3 linked regions of the Alligator mississippiensis genome follow. The protein of the gene in region 1 interacts with the protein of each later gene in a pairwise test. Links are inferred from orthologs where the notes say so. Each region holds a gene or a part of one and is shown in the gene's direction. Other genes may lie near its edges.

Region 1 (3,275 bases):
GTATTCCCTGTGTGTGTGTCTCCAGGTATACGTGTGCATATGTGTCCCTTGGCTCCACATGTCTTTGCCTGTCTTAGTGATGTGTGTGTATGTGTGTGCGTCTCTGCCACCCTGGGGTCTGTGTCTGGCGGTGTGTGTGTCTGCAACCATGTGGACTGTGTGTCTGTGTACGAGACTCCATGTGTGTGTCTGTATCTCCATCTGTGTAATGTCAGTGTGCATGTGCATGCATGTGTGTGTCCTGGACGCCAGGGTTATACCTGTGTGTGCATGCCTGGGTGCATGTGTGTGTGTGTTGGACACCTTGGTTCTATGGGTGTGTGTCCCCTAGTTGCCTCTGTATGTGTGTGTATGTGTCCTAGATGCCTGTGTGTGTGTGCACACGTGTGTATGCCAGATGCAGAGGGGTATGTTGTGTAAATGTGTGTGTGTCCCAGATGTGAGTGTGAGGGGGTGTGTTGGATGCCTGGGTTCTCCGGGGGTGCTGCCAGGCAGGACTCCTGGGTTTCATGTGGGGGGGGGAGGGGTGCCCCCTACCCTGCTCTTCCGCATGACCCCCGCCGCGGCCGTGTCCTTGAACCCCGTGTCCCTACGTGGGTCCGCTGCGACCCGTGTGGGAACGTCGGTAGCAGACAACTACCCGCCCCCCCGCGTGGACCTCCCCCCTCTTTTCCCACGCGCCCCACCCACTCGGGAGGGGTGGGACGCTCAGTGGAAGAGGCGGCGGGGGCGTGGCCTCGCTCGAGCCAGCCAATCGAGGCGCGTTTCCGCCGGCCCGGCGCGCGGGGGGAGTATATCAAGCCCCGGCAGCGGTTGCAGCGCATGACACTGACTCGAGTGGTGCCGGGGTGGACACACGGTGGCTGGTGCGCAGTGCCCAGGACCCTTCCTGCGCCCGCATCCTTGCGCCGCTCCCCCGCGAGACCCGGCTGCTACCGGGGAGAGGAGGTGGTGACTGCCTGCAACCTCCGAGGCGTGAGATCTCCAACCCCCCCGCTCTCCTTCCTCCGGGCCTTTCGTACCGGATCCGGCTCGGCCTCGCCCCCGGGCTCCGCGTGCCCCGGGTGGATGTGCACGAAGATGGAGCAGCCCTTCTACCACGACGACTCCTTCCTGACGGGCTATGGCCGGGCCGAGCTGGGCTCCCACGCTGACTACAAGCCGTACCGGGCCCTCAAGGCGCAGCTGCAGCTCCGGGCCGGGGCGGAAGAGGGCGGCGGGGCCTTTTACGCCCCGGCGGGGCTAGGCGAAGCCGGCAGCGCCTCTCTGAAGCTGGCCTCTCCCGAGCTGGAGCGCCTCATCATCCAGAACAGCAACGGCGTGGTTACCACCACCCCCACGCCGCCCGGTCAGTTCTTCTACCCGCGGGGCCCCACGGAGGAGCAGGAAGGCTTCGCCGACGGCTTCGTGAAGGCCCTGGACGATCTGCACAAGCTGAACCACCTGCCGCCGCCCAACGTGTCACTCGGAGCTGCCCCGGCCAGCAGCGCCTATGCCCCGGCCCTGCATCCGGAGCCGGCGCCTGTCTACACGACGCTAACGAGCTACCCGCCGCCCGCTGCCGCTACCGCCTACCCCAGCGCCAACCTCAGCTACCTGCCCCCAGGCTACCCCCGCCCGCAGGGCTTCAAGGAGGAGCCGCAGACGGTCCCCGAGCCACCGGCCCCGGCGCCCGGCAGCCCGCCACTGTCGCCCATCGACATGGAGGACCAGGAGCGCATCAAGGTGGAGCGCAAGCGGCTGCGGAACCGCCTGGCCGCCACCAAGTGCCGCAAGAGGAAGCTGGAGCGCATCGCCCGGCTGGAGGAGAAGGTGAAGAGCCTGAAGGCGGAGAACGCGGGGCTGTCCAGCACGGCCGGCCTGCTCCGCGACCAGGTGGCCCAGCTCAAGCAGAAGGTCCTCACGCACGTGAACAGCGGTTGCCAGCTCCTCCTGGCTGTCAAGATGCAGGCCTTCTAACCCGGGGGGGCTAGGGAAGGGGGCAGGCCCCCCTTGCCCACCTCACCACGAATCCGGAGCTGGTTGAAACCAAGCTTTCCACCCCCACCAACCCCCTTTCTCCCAGCCGGGACTTTATCGCCGGATAAAGTTAGCGCGGGGGGGTGGGGGGGACTTTTCCCGCGGGAGAACGCGGCAGGCACTGGCCCCCGGGCGGCGGTAGGTGGCAGGAGCCAGCGGGCCTCTTTGCATGGCTGGACGGTGCAATATGTTAGGCCTCGATGTTTTTTTCTTTTTTTGTTTTGTTTTTTCCTTGAAGGGGGGGGAGGGGGCTGGACCACGAAGGCTGAAACCCGGAACGGACAGACAGCCCACCCTAGATAACCTCCTCTCCACCTGGACTGACCCCCCTCAGCAATGTGGGGAGCAAAGAGACTGGCTAGGAATGTTGTTTTATCCCCCCCACCCCCTTCTTTTTACCTCTGGATTGGTGTGTGTGTGTGTGTGTGTGTGTCTGTTTGACTGTTTGACTGGGCAGAGTCTTCACCATGTTTTTCCCCCTTTTATGTTTGTTTTAAAAGGAGGGAATGGGGAAAAAAAAGTAATGATAATTATTATTAATAATAACGAGCCCCTTGGGGCTTGTTTTACTGCTTTGTTGTTGTTTGTTTCTTGTTTTTTAATGGACACTTTTATTTAAGTAAAAAGAAACATTTCTTGATATAAAAGGACGTGTTTTGGCTCTGGGGGTCTCTGATTTGGGGGGGCGGGAGCTGGATTATAGGGATGGGGGGGTCGCTTGATGAGGGGAGGGGGTGCTAGGGGGTTCTGGATATGGAGAGGGAGCTACCGGGTTGTGTCTCTGCCTCAGTCAGGCCTGGGCCCCGTGTCTTAGTTTCTCCTTCTGCGGGGAGGGGGTTCCTTCCCCAGTCCAGATGCGGGGTCTCTTCCCCGGCCGTATCCACCGCGCTCCTCCACCCAGCTTGAGCCCATCGCGAGCTAGAAGGGCTGTAAGGAGGGGGGGCTTTCCCCGGTGACGCAGAGGAAGAGGCCCATATATGGTCACGCCCGGGCGTGTGACGTCAGGGCACCCGGCTGCCGGGAACCCCCGCCCACGCTGCCGGGCAGGGGGCGCGGGGCCCGGGGATCGCGTCAATTTCCAGCCCGGGGGGAGTTTCCCGGGGTCAGGCCCGCTTCCGGGAAGTTCCCTGCTCCCCATCCCCTAGGAAGTGGGGGTCCCCCCTGTTAACCCTTTGCCCCAATCCCTCTTGGGGGAGGGGGGGGCAGCTCCGGGGCCCCTGACGCTGCCTGGGTTTGAGGGGCGGAGGAGGGCTCCT
Region 2 (3,745 bases), on another chromosome or scaffold:
AAAGTGGTTCAATCTAAAATTGTAAGCACCACAGGACCTGTATCATACACAGGCCAGACTGATGATGAACAAGTTTGGAGACGCCACGTGGACCAGCTGCGTGGGCGTTCTTCTACTAATAACCCTATACCTGAGCAATCTCCAAGCACCAATCTACCACCGACAGACATGGATTCGTTGGAGAAGTGCTTACCTGTTTCCACCAGTGCAAACCCTTTGCCATCGCTGTCAAAAGGAAGCGTTGCTGTTGAGTCTCCAGATAGGCTGACAGGGCTGTCATCCACTGAACCCCTCGCTGAGTCTGGTTCTATGGGAAGACCATAGTGGAAGCGGAGTCCTCCCAAATGGTTGGCTGACTATTCTGTCTGGGGGGAGGGGTGTTGTGTCTTATTGTGTTTTCCTTGTACTGTCCCTTTAAGGCCAAAGTCCTTCTAGTCAGCACTGCAGGGTTCACTTGTTTCTGGCAGTTTTGCAGCACTGGGGACTCCATATTCTCTGCCCTGGGGAGCCAGAGGCATCCTTGGTTCCTCTCCCTCCGCAGGACTGGAGCGGGTCAAGTGAGAGGCAGAGCAGGTATAAGATCTGTATGCATATACTGATGCAGTTGTTAAGATCCACCCTGGATATGATTACAGAGAGTTATAATAATAAATAATTGTTAGTTCAGCGCAGCAATGTCCAGAGTGTTGTTGCTGAACCCACAACATATCAGATCCCTTGTAAGCAAGTCTGCCAAGAGCTCTCAGCCTTTTCCTGGGGTCTGCAAGCCCTGGCACTGAGTGTTAGGTGTTTGGTGGAAAATAAAAATCTGCTTGGGAATTTCCCCAGTAGGGCTTAGTGAGGAGTTCAGAGAGGACAGCAAAGGGAGCCCTAGGGGCTTACTGCTCACATGTACACACCTGAGCAATCGACTCTGCTTCCCCTGCCTCTCTGGAATTTTCTGCAGTTCCTGCAAGCACTTCCTCCCCGCCTCCCCAGCCTCCTTTGAGGGTCTGAGTTTCACAGGCGGCGCAGGGGTTTTTTCTCCTTCCCCCGTTCTGCTGTTTGCTCTCTGTAGAAACCCATCTCACCACTGTTTTTAAACCACTCGAAGGTGTTGGGGTTTTTCTGGGCTATTTTGAAGCTCGTTTTCCCAGATGCGTGTTTTTTTTCTTTTGAATGCAACTCTTCATCTAAAGTTTCCGCCCATGTGACTTTCAGCTTGCATCCCCCGTATATTCTGAGAAACCACAGAGGGCCAGAGCCTAAAGACACTGACATATTACTGCAGAGTGCAATTACTCTGAGAGAGGAGAGACACCGGGCAGGACCAGGGCGCACAGCAGAGAAAGTGATACTGGGCAAGGGAGAGCCACAGCCTGCCAAAGAGACAGGCTGGGGGACAGAGGCAAAGAGATTTCCCAGGGGAGAAAGAGGACACAGGAGAGGGGAGAGTAATAGCAGAAGACACCAAGAGTACAGAGGACAGAAAGGAAGCCAAAGAAGCCTTGGCAGAGGGAGGCAGGAGCCATGCCCCATAGCTCGGACAGCAGTGACTCCAGCAGCTTCAGCCAGTCTCCCCCACCCAGCAAGCAGGTAACATTTTGAATTGTTTGCTTCTGGGCTCTCCTCTTCAGTCAGCTCCTGGGGGGCAGAAAGCTGCTGGCATTGGAGGGGATCCTCAGTGAGGGCTGGAGACATGCCCTCATCTGCTGCACAGAGAGGCAGGGCTTTCTAGGAACCAGCCCAGGGAGAGGCACAGAGCTCTCTTGCAGGGGCAAGCTCCAGACCAGGGACATCAATCACTGAACAGAGCGAGAAGGAACCTCATTAGACCAGGGCACCTGAGGACTTATGAACCCCCTGCTGCTGGATGTGGAGGCACAAGGCATCCAGCCAACTGGGAGACCCCTCAGGGGTCAGAGTCTGTCATGTGCTCTGAGCATGCCCTCCCCCCCATATAATTAAGATCTTTTGATGAATTTGAATCCTTCCTGCCTCCCTTGGAGGTTGTTGCCCCCATCTGTCCAGGGCTTCTTTTTGTACATGCTCTGCTGTTAGCCCCCTTAAACTCTTCCTCAGTGAGTGGTGTGTGATGGAGAAGTCCTGTGAGTTGGCCTCTTCCATATATCTTTCCATCTGCCCTGTAGCATGCCTGCCATGGCCAGACACTAGCTTCATTTAACATGTATCCCCAGTATTTCTGGCCCCTCTGAATATTTGTAATTTTACCACACATTATCTGCCAAGTGCCAACAACATGGCATGGGGCAGGAGAGTCGTCACCCTGAGGAACTCCCAGACAGGCCCTGGACAGACAGGCCTGAGCTGGCACTCAGTGTGCTGGATGAGAGAGAGGGAAAGAAGGAAAGTAAGCAAGCACAAAGCAATCAAGGGAGAAGTATTCAAGAGGCATATTGGAACAGAGCTTGGTGTGGCAAGAGACCAGCCAGCGGACCTGCCAGAGGTGGGGTTAGGAAGGCCCTGAAGGGAAGGGCAAGAAGTTGAACTGTGATGAAATGGAAAGATCACAAGGTGTGGGGTAGAAGGATGTGGACAGATTGGTAGGCCAGAGAGAACTTTAGTGGCGGCATTTCCCTGGCGAGAGGGAGGGGGCGGTGTAGATGTCAGTGAGCCCAGTGAGGCATCAATGCCAGTATCTGGGGAGGAGATGAAAGGGTCTGGAGGGAGTTCTAGCTGTCAGGGATGGTGACAGCTCAGCAGAGGATTGCTGTTGTGAGAGGCTCATGTCCCAGGCCAGGAAAAGAGCTGTATCTGTGTAACTGGTGCAGATATGACCTGGAATATTGCAGCCAGCTCTGAGCCTTATGTGATCAATGATGAGAGACTAAAATACAGGAAGCTCAGAGAAAGCAGCTGCAACAATTAGGAGGCCTGGAGGGACCAAGTTCTGGGAAAAGATGAAAAAGTTGAGCTTATCTAGCAGGGCTGAGCAGTGGCTCTCCTGGGGCTAGAGAAGATGAGCTGGTAGTTTTGTTTGGTCTCTCACTGTTGTGGTTCTTCAGACCTGAACCATGGAGCCTGTGATGGTTCATTTCCCTGTTCTGTCAGAACATGGAGAGTCATAGGCTTGCCCCAGGGTTGGGATGTCAAGAGCCTTGTACAGAAGAGGAGCACCCCAACCTGGTCTTAAGCTGATGCTGTGTGTCAGACGGGAGCGCATGTTCTGTGGAGCAGGGGAGAGGCTGGCGTGATCTCTGCTGAGAGGAATGTTGGCTCAGGGCTGTTTTGTGCTGCCCCCGCATCCCCGCCCCTGTGCCTTTGTGGGAGTGGAAGGGAGGCGATGCCCATGTCATTCCCAGGCTCTCTGTGTTTCAGGACTCTTCTGACGACATGAGGAAAGTCCAGAGACGGGAGAAGAACCGCATTGCTGCCCAGAAGAGCCGACAGAGGCAGACTCAGAAGGCAGATACGCTTCACTTGGTAAGAACCTCCCTTCTCAGCCTGTCCCAGATCACTGCATGCACACATTAGGGAATGTATTTCAGCACTAAGGAGTGCAGCAGAGTTCGGCTTTGGGCCTGGGCCACTGTAGGGTGCTACTGACAGCACTAGCAGTAGCTGGAGAGCAGGGACTAGGTAGCTCTGCCAAGGGGCCAAAAGGTTTCTTTCCAGATGAACTGTGGGCACTGTTGGACATCTCCTCAGGGGATGCTCTCCTCTAGGCTCCCCCTTCTCAGTTTGTTGCACTCTTGTTTGTGCTCTGAGTGGCCTGTTGATGCCAATGGAAATTTTGCCATTTGCT
Region 3 (3,745 bases), on another chromosome or scaffold:
GCTGCATTGGTAGGTTTGTTGCCAGTAAATTGAGGGAAGCAATTATTCCCCCTTATTTGGCACCGGTAAGGCCACATCTGGAGTACTGTGTTCAGTTTTGGGCCCCCCACTACAGAAAGGATGTGGACAAATTGGAGAGAGTCCAGTGGAGGGCAATGAAAAGACTAGGGGGCTGGGGCACATGGGTTATGAGGAGAGGCTGAGGGAACTGGGCAAATTTAGTCTGGAGAAGAGAAGACTGGGAGGGGATACAGCAGCCTTCAACTACCTGAAGGGTGGCTCCAAAGAAGATGGAGATGGACTGTTCTTGATGGAGGCAGATGACAGAACAAGGAGCAATGGGCTCAAGCTGCACCAAAGGAAGTTTAAGCTAGATATTAGGAAAAACTTTCTCACTAGGAGGGTGGTGAAGCACTGGGCCAGGTGACCCAGAGAGGCAGTGGAATTGCCATCCTTGGAGATTTTTAAGTCCTGGCTAAACCTCCTATTCCCCTGGTGGTAATGATGTAGCCAGGGCTGATCCTGCTCTGAGCAGGGGGCTGGACTAGGTGTCCTCCCAGCCCTCATGTCCTAGGAGTCTGTGAAGGGTCCCAGCAGGGCTCAGTGCTTGAACTCTGCGGGCTCCTGTTGGAAATCTCTGGGTTTCTCTTCTCTTGTGAATCAGGCTTGCACAGAGCTCACCCGGTGGTGGGGCATCCTGCACCACAACACCCTCGAAAGGATCCCAGGGGCCCTTGCCAGGGTGCTGTGGGGCCCTTGTGGAGCACCCCAACTTCACGCCTCAAGAGGGCCTTTCAGACACAGGGCAGCGCCTCCTGCGGCACCACAGCTGCTGGAGGGGGGCCGGGCCGGCCGGGCCCTGCTCTGTCTGCTCGGACTGCCAAGAGGGAGCAGCAAGCCACGGCGGCTGCCCTGAGGTGCAGGGGCTGAAAGAAGCCCCCGGTGGGTGCTGACGGGAACCAGCCCCGCGTGGCGCTGCTGAGAGGAGCCGGGCGTGTGTGTGCACGTGCGTGTCGGGGGTGGGGGTTGTACGGTTGTTGAGGTGTGTGTGTCTCGGGGTGTCTGTGTGTGTGCAGTGCAAGGGGGGGGCGTCAGAGGGTGGGTGCGGTTCAAGGGGGTGTGCGTCAGGGGGCGTGTGTGTGTGCGGTGCGGGGGGGCAGTTGTAGCTGTGTGTGTGCACGTGGAGGGAGGGCTGTCGGGGTGTGTGGTGTTCATGTGTGTGCAGGGGGGGCCACGCGGCCACGTGACTTCCACGAAGGCGGCGTGGGGCAGGCGCCGGGGAAGCCCGGCAGTGCAGTGCAGTGCAGTGCCGTGCCGTGCCGTGCCGTGCCGGGCAGGGCCGGCCGGGCAGGAGCGGGCGCCAGGTGCAGGCGCTGCCGGGATGCCGCGGGGCGGAGCCTTCCCCTAGAGCCGGCCGGGGCGGTGCTGTGGGCTCCCGCCGGCGGCGGCGGCGGAGCAGCGGCCGGGATGTCGCACGGGCTCCCGGCCTCCGGCAGCGTCCTGCAGCCCAGCGCCTCGGCCGGCGGTAACCAGCCGCCCGCACAGGTAGCGCCCAGGGCGGAGCGGGGCGGGGCAGGGCATGGGCGGGGAGGAGGGGGTGCCCCTGCCCCTGCCCCTGCCCCTGGGGCCGGGCGGCAGCAGCAGGCAGCCCCCGTGAGGGCGAGGGCTGTAGCTGTAGCTGTGCTGGCAGGCGGCCTCCCTGCCCCCCGTCTTAGCCTCGGACCAAGCGAGGGTCGGGGTGCGGAGTCAGGGGCTCTGCTTTCCTGGCGCCCGGCTGTGCCTGTGGCTGTCTGTGCTGCTTTGAAAAAAAAAGTGGATGTGAAATCCTTCCTTGGGCGATCCCGGAGAGTTTTGCATCCACTTTTCAGACAGTTAAGGCTGTGAGAGGCAGGCGGCTCCTGCTTGGGCTGCGGCATTGCTGCCCAGCCTGGCTCAAGGAACTGCTCATCTCGACAGGAGCAGAAATGCTTGGGACCTGTGAAAGTGGGGCGCTGCGCCCTTGCGTGCCTCGGTTCCCCTCTCTGTACAAAGGGTGCGATGAGAGTTGTTGCCACTTGCAGAACGCTTTGAATGCCCGGTGTCAGAGTGAAGCACTGTCACCGTGACCCATGGATTTGCCTCCTTGTTCACACTAAAAATGATTTCCTTGCTTTAAAATCTCAATTCTGTTTTATTTTTTAAAGAAAGCTCAGAAAAGTGTGGGTTTGTTTTCCAGGGTCATGAAGAAGATGACAGGAAAGTAAGACGGAGAGAAAAAAACAGAGTGGCTGCCCAGAGAAGCCGCAAGAAACAGACGCAGAAAGCAGATAAACTGCATGAGGTGATGGACACCTTTATGTTCTCAATTTGTCTTTTTTCGGTGCTATGTCTGGGATTTAACAGTACCAGGAATTTCTTAAATACACGTGGGGGGTTTTTTCATACTAATTTAGTGAGAACAACTGTGGGTGTGGTGGAGAGATGCATGAGTTTCCCTGCCACATCATGCAGGTGGTCTCTGTAATGTAATACTTTGTTTCGGACACTGAATATCTGCTGTTGGCTGGAGGTGTAACAATCACGAGGTGGAACAATTAAGAGATGGTAGCTTACAGGCAAAGCTTCTTTTCCAGTTCCCAAAGGGAACTGAGGTATGAGGGTTCATACTCTTATGTAACTAGGTGTTTTCATTATCTATATAAACATTGATCTTTTTTAAAATTGTCTTGTGTTCTCTGCCTCAGTAATGCAGTGTGACAGAGCTTACTGGGTCTCCAGTTGGAAAGCTTATAGAATAGCTATTTTGTTTCTTTTCTGTAACTCTCAGTATCCAGTATAGCAGGACTGCTGATGACACTGTAATATAAACATTCAGGACTTCAGCTACTAATGCTTTTATGTAAGTGATATAGCGCTCAAGGTCCCATTCAGCCAAGCATTCTATCTGTCTTCTACACTGTGTAAATAAGAATTATCCACAGAAGATGTTTCTATTATTTCTTTGTCCTTGGGGCTGGTAGAAAAGAACAGGAAAAATTACAAGCATCACCACACCTGAATACAATTATACCTAGAGGGGAAGCACCACAGTTTTTTGAGTTTTTCCTCTCTTAACACGTACAAGAGCTTGCTTCAAAGCTCCTCTGCAATCAAACAATAAGCTTATTGCCATATGCAGTTTCTTTACAAGAGGGGCTCAGGATTGGAGTAATACACATTGGACAAGACTCGGATGCTGTAGCAAACTGTTTAGAAATCAGCATAGCAGCTGGCCCAGGTAGCATCTGATTCTTTCAAGTGTTCTTATGAGCTTCAAATTCCTTCAAATTTAAATGGATGAATAATAAAGACATCTCAAGTGGAAGAGAGTGTATTACTTTTGTTAAGTTGCGTGATACTTTCATTTTTTCAGACGGGAACACATAGTGACTCATGATTTTCTAGCATACTTGCTTGCTGGTCATTGTGGCTGGAAAGCTAAGAATTATCAAGAAAGTGCTGTTAGACCATGTTCAGTTGAAACTAAAGACCCGAAATAAAATTATTTTTGTTTTTTACTGAAACCAATACTGTCGGCAAGATGGCATTGTCCAGCATTGGACAATATGCCAGTTCACTTTATGTGGAAAGAACTTCAGCAGACTGTCCAAGTCCCACATGCACAATGTATGATAGCTGTGAACAAGGGGTTCACAGAAACTTTTAGGTCTTTTTCAATCATCAGTTTATACAATAGGTACTGTAAGAGGAAATGTAATTCCTCTCA

The links.
Region 2: the proteins of JUNB (region 1) and BATF interact in binary tests that used the Homo sapiens proteins (3 or more experiments, as listed by UniProt). The link is inferred for Alligator mississippiensis from reciprocal best matches to the Homo sapiens genes JUNB and BATF.
Region 3: the proteins of JUNB (region 1) and BATF3 interact in binary tests that used the Homo sapiens proteins (3 or more experiments, as listed by UniProt). The link is inferred for Alligator mississippiensis from reciprocal best matches to the Homo sapiens genes JUNB and BATF3.

What each region holds. Positions count from the first base shown.
Region 1 is NC_081831.1:22,791,761-22,795,035, reverse strand, and holds JUNB (transcription factor JunB), read left to right. Parts: upstream 1-809; 5' UTR 810-822; coding exon 823-1,959; 3' UTR 1,960-2,666; downstream 2,667-3,275. UniProt on the Homo sapiens protein: Transcription factor involved in regulating gene activity following the primary growth factor response. Binds to the DNA sequence 5'-TGA[GC]TCA-3'.
Region 2 is NC_081825.1:261,468,125-261,471,869, forward strand, and holds the start of BATF (basic leucine zipper transcriptional factor ATF-like), read left to right. Parts: upstream 1-951; 5' UTR 952-1,509; coding exon 1,510-1,575; intron 1,576-3,318; coding exon 3,319-3,423; intron 3,424-3,745. UniProt on the Homo sapiens protein: AP-1 family transcription factor that controls the differentiation of lineage-specific cells in the immune system: specifically mediates the differentiation of T-helper 17 cells (Th17), follicular T-helper cells (TfH), CD8(+) dendritic cells and class-switch recombination (CSR) in B-cells.
Region 3 is NC_081824.1:189,585,863-189,589,607, forward strand, and holds the start of BATF3 (basic leucine zipper transcriptional factor ATF-like 3), read left to right. Parts: upstream 1-1,281; 5' UTR 1,282-1,467; coding exon 1,468-1,545; intron 1,546-2,215; coding exon 2,216-2,320; intron 2,321-3,745. UniProt on the Homo sapiens protein: AP-1 family transcription factor that controls the differentiation of CD8(+) thymic conventional dendritic cells in the immune system.